2 linked regions of the Oryzias latipes genome follow. The protein of the gene in region 2 purifies or fractionates together with the protein of the main gene of each other region. This does not show direct contact. Links are inferred from orthologs where the notes say so. Each region holds a gene or a part of one and is shown on either strand. Other genes may lie near its edges. The genes, in order: usp33 and beta-2 adrenergic receptor.

Region 1 (3,818 bases), on a different chromosome or scaffold from region 2:
GGCTCTAGGTTGACGTCATGAAATAGGCGGTACCCACAAAGAGCGCAAGGCGGAGCCTCAAAGATCGAGTCGTCTTTCTTCCGTGTAGGAAAATGAGCTGCAAAAGTAACTTGTATTTTTAAAAAATTGTTCTTTAGTGTGCCAAAGGTAATATACCATCAGATATATGGAAATAGTTTACTCAGAAAGGCTCAAGAATAGCACAACACAGGCCCTTAAAATATATAGAATTTAGCAGAACACTCATTTTAAACGTAAACAGAGTGATGTAGGGATGCAACCTTCCCCATGATTCGGTTCAAACACAGGGTTTGGTTTTAAACCAAGAACTGTGCCCTCCTAGTAAATACCCTTCAAGTGAGACATGCAAATGTAATAACACATTTAGTTTCCCTCTACACAACCATATGCTACCATTCATATTTATGTTTGAATCTATATGTATGACTGCACTGAGCATCCTTTGTCCTACAGCAAAGCCTCAGCAGAACCGTTCTCTGTTCCCGTTTTTCATCAGAGCTCAGTCATTTTCAGTTCTGTGACTCTTTTCCTTTTTATCCGGAAACAGAGCTCCCTGTTTGAAACCCTTTGTGGCGTCTGTCCCTGGTCTGGACCAAAAAGGCATTAGCTGCATAAAGAATCTCCGCCTGAATGTGGTGGAGAGGTTTGCCGAGGCATCAGACAAAAGAGAGAGAGATTTAGCAAACCTGCTGATCACGAGAACAGTGGGAAGAATGGCGTCTCACATCAAAAGTTGAACTAGTCGTTTGTCACTAATATCATTTAAAAAATAACACTTGTTATTTCACTGAGTGAGGTGACTGGATGAAGTGTGTTGGGTAAACTTGGAGGAGGCTCACTTCACTTACTGGGATTGTAAACTAAGAGGTGCTTTGGCATTAAGCTTTTGCCATGGGCCATATGGTCCCTGGAAAGCCAGAGTGAGAACATTAAGAAAGTCTAGTTCCCGTGGAGTCACAGGGCTGCTCTTTGCCTTCAGTTCTGTCTGTAACCTTTGTGAAAGAAGTTGCACAGTGGACTCGGGCAGTTTCTAACCAGATGTCAAATGTAAATATAAGTCACAAGTGTTAAAAAGGAACCTCTGCTAAAGCTATGAGAACGTTACAGAAGATTTGTCAAAAACCAAAAATCCTCAGCAGGATGAAAGCAGTGGCTGCATTTTGCCAAAATGCAAAGAAGACAATTGGAAGGAAAGTTCCGACACACCTCCATGCACACACAAGAAGTCATCATTGGAAATGGGCCCTGGCTCAGCAAAGGTCTTGAACTTGTTCAGCCACTGGCGAGAGATGTAAAACTGCAGAAGGCTGGGCTCCATCATGTTGAATAAGTTTGACACCCTCCCACGTTCCTTCACGGTGTCCCCGTTGCTCTTTCTGTCACAGAAACAGTTCATATATTAATCCGCTGTAAGAAGCTCGGGGAATTTCAATGTCTCAGACATAACCGAGAGCCTGAATTATTCATTCTGGGGGGTCAGCTTACTTATAGAAGAGCACATAGGCTTCAGCGTTCTGGACACAGGACTCAGACACCTCGGTCACGCTTTGGTCGTCAAACTCGTACCACAGATTGTTGGAGTCATTCCTGCAGTACGCTATGTAGTGGCCACCTGGGATCAGACAGGGAGAAGAGTAAGAGCAGCGTCCGCAAACCCATCCCTGTAAAAGAATGTCATCAGGGCGCATTTGTGCCAACGGATGGCAAATGCCCCGCTCTCCGCCAAGAAAGGGGAGTGACGGCGCCCACTCACTGCTGGCAGTGCCGTGGTGACAGATGACGGACAGCAGGTCATAGTTGGTGGTCTGGGCGGAGCTGTCTTTGGACAGAAAGGGCTGCAGGTCCAGCCCCTCAAGTGGGAAGGACACATGGGTGCTTATCTTGGTGGAGAACATCAGCTCATGTCTGAACCGCTTCAGATGAATACACAGGATCTGCAGCAGAGCAAAAAAAAACAACGTAGATTTAAAAAAACTGCGGGCCATAAAAAAACTGCTTCAACATCCAAAATGATTCGCACCTCTGGCAACTTTTGCATTTTACAGAATTTGACTCCGTTTCGTAACCTGAAGAGGAGAAAACGAAGAGAAAAATCACTTCAATCCATCCTTTGCTGTTTTTCATTAGAAGCAAATTCTTGTTCAGCGAGGTGTAAATATGAAGCTTTGCATTTACTAACTTTTTGCATTTTTCGCAGCTGTACATATTGTCTCCTGGAAAACAAAAAGATGCAGTTATTGATAAATCAATCCAGAGATTTGAGTTGGACAAAACCGACATTTGTTCCAGCACTTCATTACCTTTTAATTCGTCTCTGGCAAAGAATGCAGCCAGACAGTCTTGTAGTGTAACCACTGGACCCCAGAACCAGCTGGAGAAAAAGCACAGAGGAGTTATTTACCCCAACAGCAGCAACGACATGCTGTAGATGGAACAGGGTTGTGTTCCTCTATCATACATGCGTACCTTTTGATGTACTCCATGACAAATGCTATCCACCCCTGAGCTGCATACGCCTCCCCACAGGAGCCAGCTTTTACCAGCGAGGTCTGGTGGGTGGATGAGTGCAGCTTGGCCAGATCTTCCTTTCCCGGAATGGGCAATGAGATATCCTGGAAATTCTCCAGGGTCACAGACACCTGACAAACACAAACCGCACAGCCAGCAAGGCGTTAGGAATCCTCACCTTTAAGATGTTTCCACACGGCAATGTTTTACCTACAGGTTAGTCTTTCAATTGGAGCAAAACCTCACAAGTATGATTGAGCAGTCTTTGAAAACAACTACAGAACCCTACTGTCGGACCCTTTCCCATTAAACAGGACTGAGACTTGAGTTCAGCAGGACTGTAGAGATGTAACAACACTAACCCGATCACAGGTGAGGCACTGAACCGAGCTCACGATGGTCCCATCGAAGACGTCTGAAATGATACTTCTGTACTTCTTCTGCCGCTTGCTCTTCGTTGGGGAGAATGTGGTGACAGCTGGACGAGGACAGAGGCAGAAATGTGAGAACATGTATAGATTAGCACGCAAGTCGACAAAAAGACAGAACACGAGGTTACATTTACCCGTCCTTAAGTTTCCAGCATTTAATGCAGATTTGACTGATTGCAGGGTTCAGGTTCACCTCTGAGCCTCTGCCACACACACACACACACACACACATAAACACACTGGGATTTGTACCTTTCTTGTGAGAAGGGTTCAGGCTCGGCCAGCCACAGGCAGCTTTGGGCGGGCTGCTGGACAGTTTGGGAATGTGTCCCTCCATCGAGACTGGACTTTGTGGTCTTGTTGAGTTGGACATCTGGATATCTGGAAAACATTCTGGCGAGAGGAGAGGCGGGTTTTAATTCATTTTCTTTTGGAGATCTAAAGCTCCAGAAGCCGCTCAGGAATGTCAGGTTATCGGTGAACATACTGCACTGTTGTGAGGATGTCTGTGGGATGACTGTGGTTTGTCTGCACTACGGAGGCAGCCTAACAACCATACATAACCTCAATGCTAAACATGATTGTTCACAAATTAAAAATAATCCTTTCAATGATTTTACTTGACTTTATCATGAATGTCGTCATTCATGAAGTTCACTGCACATGCTTTATGAAGTAGAACTCTTTAATATATATTTAAAGCAGAGTACAATTTTTAATTGAATTAATAGGCATATAAGGGATCAGATTTCAGCACATTAGCTTCTTTATGAGAGCTCAGCAGTGCAGATCACATCCTCAGATCTTCTTCTCTTCTTTACTCCCATTTTAGTTTGCCTTTTTTCAGCTCAGCATTTC
Region 2 (4,291 bases):
TTCTTTTTTCTGTCTGGTTGCTGACTTCACCGTTATGGCTTGGTGCTAGAACTTTGTCATTTGGCTGCATTCACACCCTGTTTATGATTACGTGTTGTCTGTACCCTTGCACTATGAGGAAACAGCTTCTCTGGTTGCGGTAAACTGTGCACATACTGAAACATGGCAACTGCAAAATCTGATAAACAAACAAGGCTCATGCAGCTATGGGTCAACTATGGTTCAAATTTGTCGCACAGAAGAAAAAGAATCGTCGTTCTCACTGTTATTTGTAACAAAAAAGTGGTTTTAGATTTGCAACAAGTGGAAAATAGACATAGTTCAGGTATATGTAACAAGCCAAAAGAAATGTTTGAATTTATGAAAACGGTGAGCATTTCAGCCCAAGTTTTATATTATTGCACTTAGCGTTCCTCCCAAAAATTATAGGTATTTTACGGTTCGTTATCTGATAAAACAAGCTTTGATGTTTTATGATGGCATTAACCCAACAGCTACAGGCGTTCCTTAGGCTCAGCATTAGGATCTAGATTAGCCAGCCATATCTCTTGTGCTTTCTGCTGACAACATAAACTCCTTTAAACACAGTCTTGCACAGTAGAGCAGGACTGAGACGTGTTTTGCCTCACGCGTAGCCAATATAGCTCCCTGAAAAAAAGATTACAACTTAATAGATTCCTCAAGTGTTGTCGGAATGTAATTTTTGATGCAAAGACCAAGACTGGTTCAAAAATCCATTCTTTGCATTGGAAGAAAAATCGCATGGAAAATCTCAAATACAGTTTTATACCATACAAAAAACTGTGGCTTCCCTCCTCAAGAAAGAGCAAAAAATAAATAAAGCATGCCCTAAGGTTTTGGATGAAGCCTTATAATCTGCAAATGTACTATTCACACGCCATTTATTAGGCTCAACACACAGCTGAGACATCGCTCTCGTTTAACTCCAAAGGTAAGAATGTAAGCCGGTAAAGAAACTAACACTGTAAAGCCGTTAGGGAGGTAGATGTAGTCATCATGTAATAAAAAAAATACATTACAATATGTAGTCACTATGTTTAACTTAAAAAAAATGTTCCTCAGCTTGATGTGATCGTTGCAGGTTCTCTGAAACACTTTTGAAACACTGCCAGCCACTTTGACTGGCCTTACCTTAATCAGCGATTGAGAGAAAAGCCCTAAATGTTCATAAGTGTATAGGCTTTCATCTTTCTCTGTTGACTGAAGGGTCGGTGGTCCGTGCTTAAAGGGCAGTTGTGACAGTCGTTATACCTTTGTTGCAGTTTCCATTGGGGTCTATGGCTCTGTCCACACCACTGCCCACCCCTGCACCTTTTATCAGACAAGCCTCATTGGCATCACTGTCCTCCGAGTTGCACTTGCTCCTCCCTTGCTGCTCACTCTGCCAGCTGTGCCTGCTGTAGATGTATCCATTTGTTTGGCCTTGGTGGCTCAGATGGTTCCTCCTGATGCACAGGAGTTCCTTGAAAGCGTACCTGAACTCAGGACTCCGGCAGTAAATGACAGGGTTGAACATAGAGTTTGAATAGCCTATCCAGTTCAGAATCATAAATACGCTATAGTTGTTCACGTTCCATATGGACGCGATTACATTAAGGATGAAGAATGGTAGCCAGCAAAGAGTAAAGGTCCCCATTATGATACCCAAAGTTTTCAGGGCTTTGTGTTCACGCAAGTAAAACTTTGCCTTCTTTTGTCCACGGCCATTCTTGTCCTCCGAAGAATCTACATGAAAGCGTCCAACGCTTTGGTTAATCTTTTTTAGCTGCCTTTTGGCCGCCAGGAAAACACGGCTGTAGACAAAAACCATGATGATCAAAGGGATGTAGAAGGAGATGATGGAGGAGGTGATTCCATATTGTATGTTTGTGTGAAACTGGCAGCAGTCTGTTTTATTAAGACATTTCTCAGCTTCCGATGTATTGGATCTCCACACGTTCATATGAATGGGCGGGTAGGATGTCAAAGCAGCAATCACCCATATAAAGATGACCACAATTCGAGCTCTGCACTTTGTCAATAGTGACTGGTAGCGGAAGGGTGCAGTAATGGCCACGTAACGGTCAATAGCGATGACACAAAGGGTCCCGATGCTTGCAGTCACGCAGAGGACATCTGTGGCAGTCCAGAAGTCGCACCAGAATTTACCAAAGTGCCATTTAACGAAGATGATGTTTAAAGCACCAAAGGGAACCACAATGAGACCCATGACCAGGTCTGCACACGCCAGAGATGTGACGAAGCAGTTGGTGACAGTTTGGAGACGCTGAAAGCGAGCGATTGCTGTTATGACCAGGATGTTTCCAAAGACAATGCACAGCACCAGAAAAGACATTCCGATGCCCATCAGGATCATAGCCGTCTCACTGTGGCCTGTCTCGTTGAGGCCCATCTCGTTGTGGCCCGTCTCGTTGTTGGACAATGACGTAGTGCTCACATTCGAGTAGACTGGAGAGACTGTAACTCCCATCTGAAGAAATCACATGCAGAAAATCATCAGACACAGTAAAAAGAGGGGAAGTGCACAATTCAAACATGTATCTAACTTATGGGAACTAAATAAATGCAGCAATAATAAAGTTTAAAACATGAATGTTTGTATCTGAAACAAAAAAACAAGCAAAGCAACAAAAGATTAAAAAAAACACAGCAGAGGCACCAGCCATAACGACCTTTTTGGCTCCATGCTTTAAAAACAAGTTGAGTCAAGAAAGAGCAAAAATACCAACCTCGACAGGTCGTTGTTTTGCTCCCAGCCTCCCATAAAAATGTCAGAATGTCAGTGTTGAAATACTTCCTGTAAGACTGGCAAGGCTCACATGCCCCTGTACTTTTTGTTCGGGTTGAGCTCCAGTTGTCTCTCTACCAAGTCGTTCCGTTGAGCAGTGTTTCCTCTGATGTGTCTCAGAGTCCTTATAGCATGCAATGGTGACATCACAGTCAGAGCTCAGCCAATCAGCGCACTAGCCTGTGGAGGGTGCTGAGCGCTCACAGGAGTTTGAACACACTGTCCCAACAGCTGCTGCTGCAGGGCTGCATGAGACATACGGCAGCCAACACAGGCAAACATTTACATATTTAAAAAACCTGCAAATTTGTACTGAAATCTACGAGCTGTATTTCAGCTCGAGTCATAAAGTCTACTTCCTGTTATGCTATGTTCCTGTATGAGTTTACAGCTTCATGCTTGTGAATCTGTATCCAATTAAAACTAGTTAAAGCATTTTTTGAGCATTTGTAAGATCAGGCTGGATTCACAAGTGATCCAACTGGCAAGTGTAGCTCAGTGAATTTTGTCAAGATCTATTGAGTGGTTGGATTGGAGCTTTAACACACTTCTTGTCCTGACAAAACCTTTGAGTTTTGTAGGCTGCTCTTTTATATAAAAATCAGGACCTTCGCCAATACAAGAACATATGCTTACATTTTAACATCCAAAGGTCAAACTGTAAAAATGACCTCAGTGTTTTGGTACGTAAAAGGCGCAGTGATCTTCACAGCAAGAGCTAAAAGAAAGCCTTTGAGGATCAAGAACAAATTTGCACTTTTATGACCACATTTATTCCATACATGTGATCTATGCAAACTAAACCTCATTTATTCAAATTTCAACAATGCAATGATAGTTCTGCTTGGTTTGTGAATGCGTAAAAACACTTCACGGAAAGTCTTCAATGCTTATTGAATTCTTTTAAGTTAATATATCTCTTTTTAAAAATGATTCTGTAATAAAATGATCCAATACCCTCAATCCTAACCCTTTAACCTAATCTTTTGTGACACTTTTGTACTTCAGCCTTTTTTTAAAGTATTTTTTCTCGAAGGTGTATTAAATGTGCAAGTATCAATAAACGTGCACATTTTATTTATCCTTTTAGGTTACAGGTCTTAAAAGGTTTACAAACTACAGAAAAAGAAAACAACAAAGATTTTTGCAAATGTTTGAGACTGTTGTAATGTGTTTTTTACCGCTGATTTTTTGCTTAAAGATCACAAAGATTTTTGCTCAATTGCGCAAAATCTTGAATTGCATAATTTTCTTCTACGCACATTAGATAGATTAGAGCGTACGTGGTTTGGAAAAAATCCAAAGACAGTTCCACTCCTGAGATTAAATAGAGGATGCTTGACGTTTTTTGGATTATATACCTGCATTAACACCAACCATAGAAACCAAAACCTGGTGTTTCGTGGTGGATTTTCAAGGCATGACAAGATTAAAGATAAGAGATGCCATATGTCTGAGCCCTCATTTAGAAGAAATCCTTCA

Evidence for each region.
Region 1: the proteins of beta-2 adrenergic receptor (region 2) and usp33 purify together in Homo sapiens (affinity purification with western blotting; 3 studies listed by BioGRID and IntAct, with this or other methods). This does not show direct contact. The link is inferred for Oryzias latipes from reciprocal best matches to the Homo sapiens genes ADRB2 and USP33.

Annotation. Positions count from the first base shown.
Region 1 is NC_019875.2:4,222,127-4,225,944, forward strand, and holds part of usp33 (ubiquitin carboxyl-terminal hydrolase 33), read right to left. Parts: intron 3,354-3,818; coding exon 3,213-3,353; intron 3,008-3,212; coding exon 2,892-3,007; intron 2,661-2,891; coding exon 2,488-2,660; intron 2,393-2,487; coding exon 2,322-2,392; intron 2,235-2,321; coding exon 2,201-2,234; intron 2,088-2,200; coding exon 2,042-2,087; intron 1,956-2,041; coding exon 1,775-1,955; intron 1,634-1,774; coding exon 1,507-1,633; intron 1,398-1,506; coding exon 1,228-1,397; intron 1-1,227. UniProt on the Homo sapiens protein: Deubiquitinating enzyme involved in various processes such as centrosome duplication, cellular migration and beta-2 adrenergic receptor/ADRB2 recycling.
Region 2 is NC_019868.2:20,753,419-20,757,709, reverse strand, and holds the start of beta-2 adrenergic receptor, read right to left. Parts: upstream 2,924-4,291; 5' UTR 2,751-2,923; intron 2,492-2,750; coding exon 1,244-2,491; 3' UTR 1-1,243. UniProt on the Homo sapiens protein: Beta-adrenergic receptors mediate the catecholamine-induced activation of adenylate cyclase through the action of G proteins. The beta-2-adrenergic receptor binds epinephrine with an approximately 30-fold greater affinity than it does norepinephrine.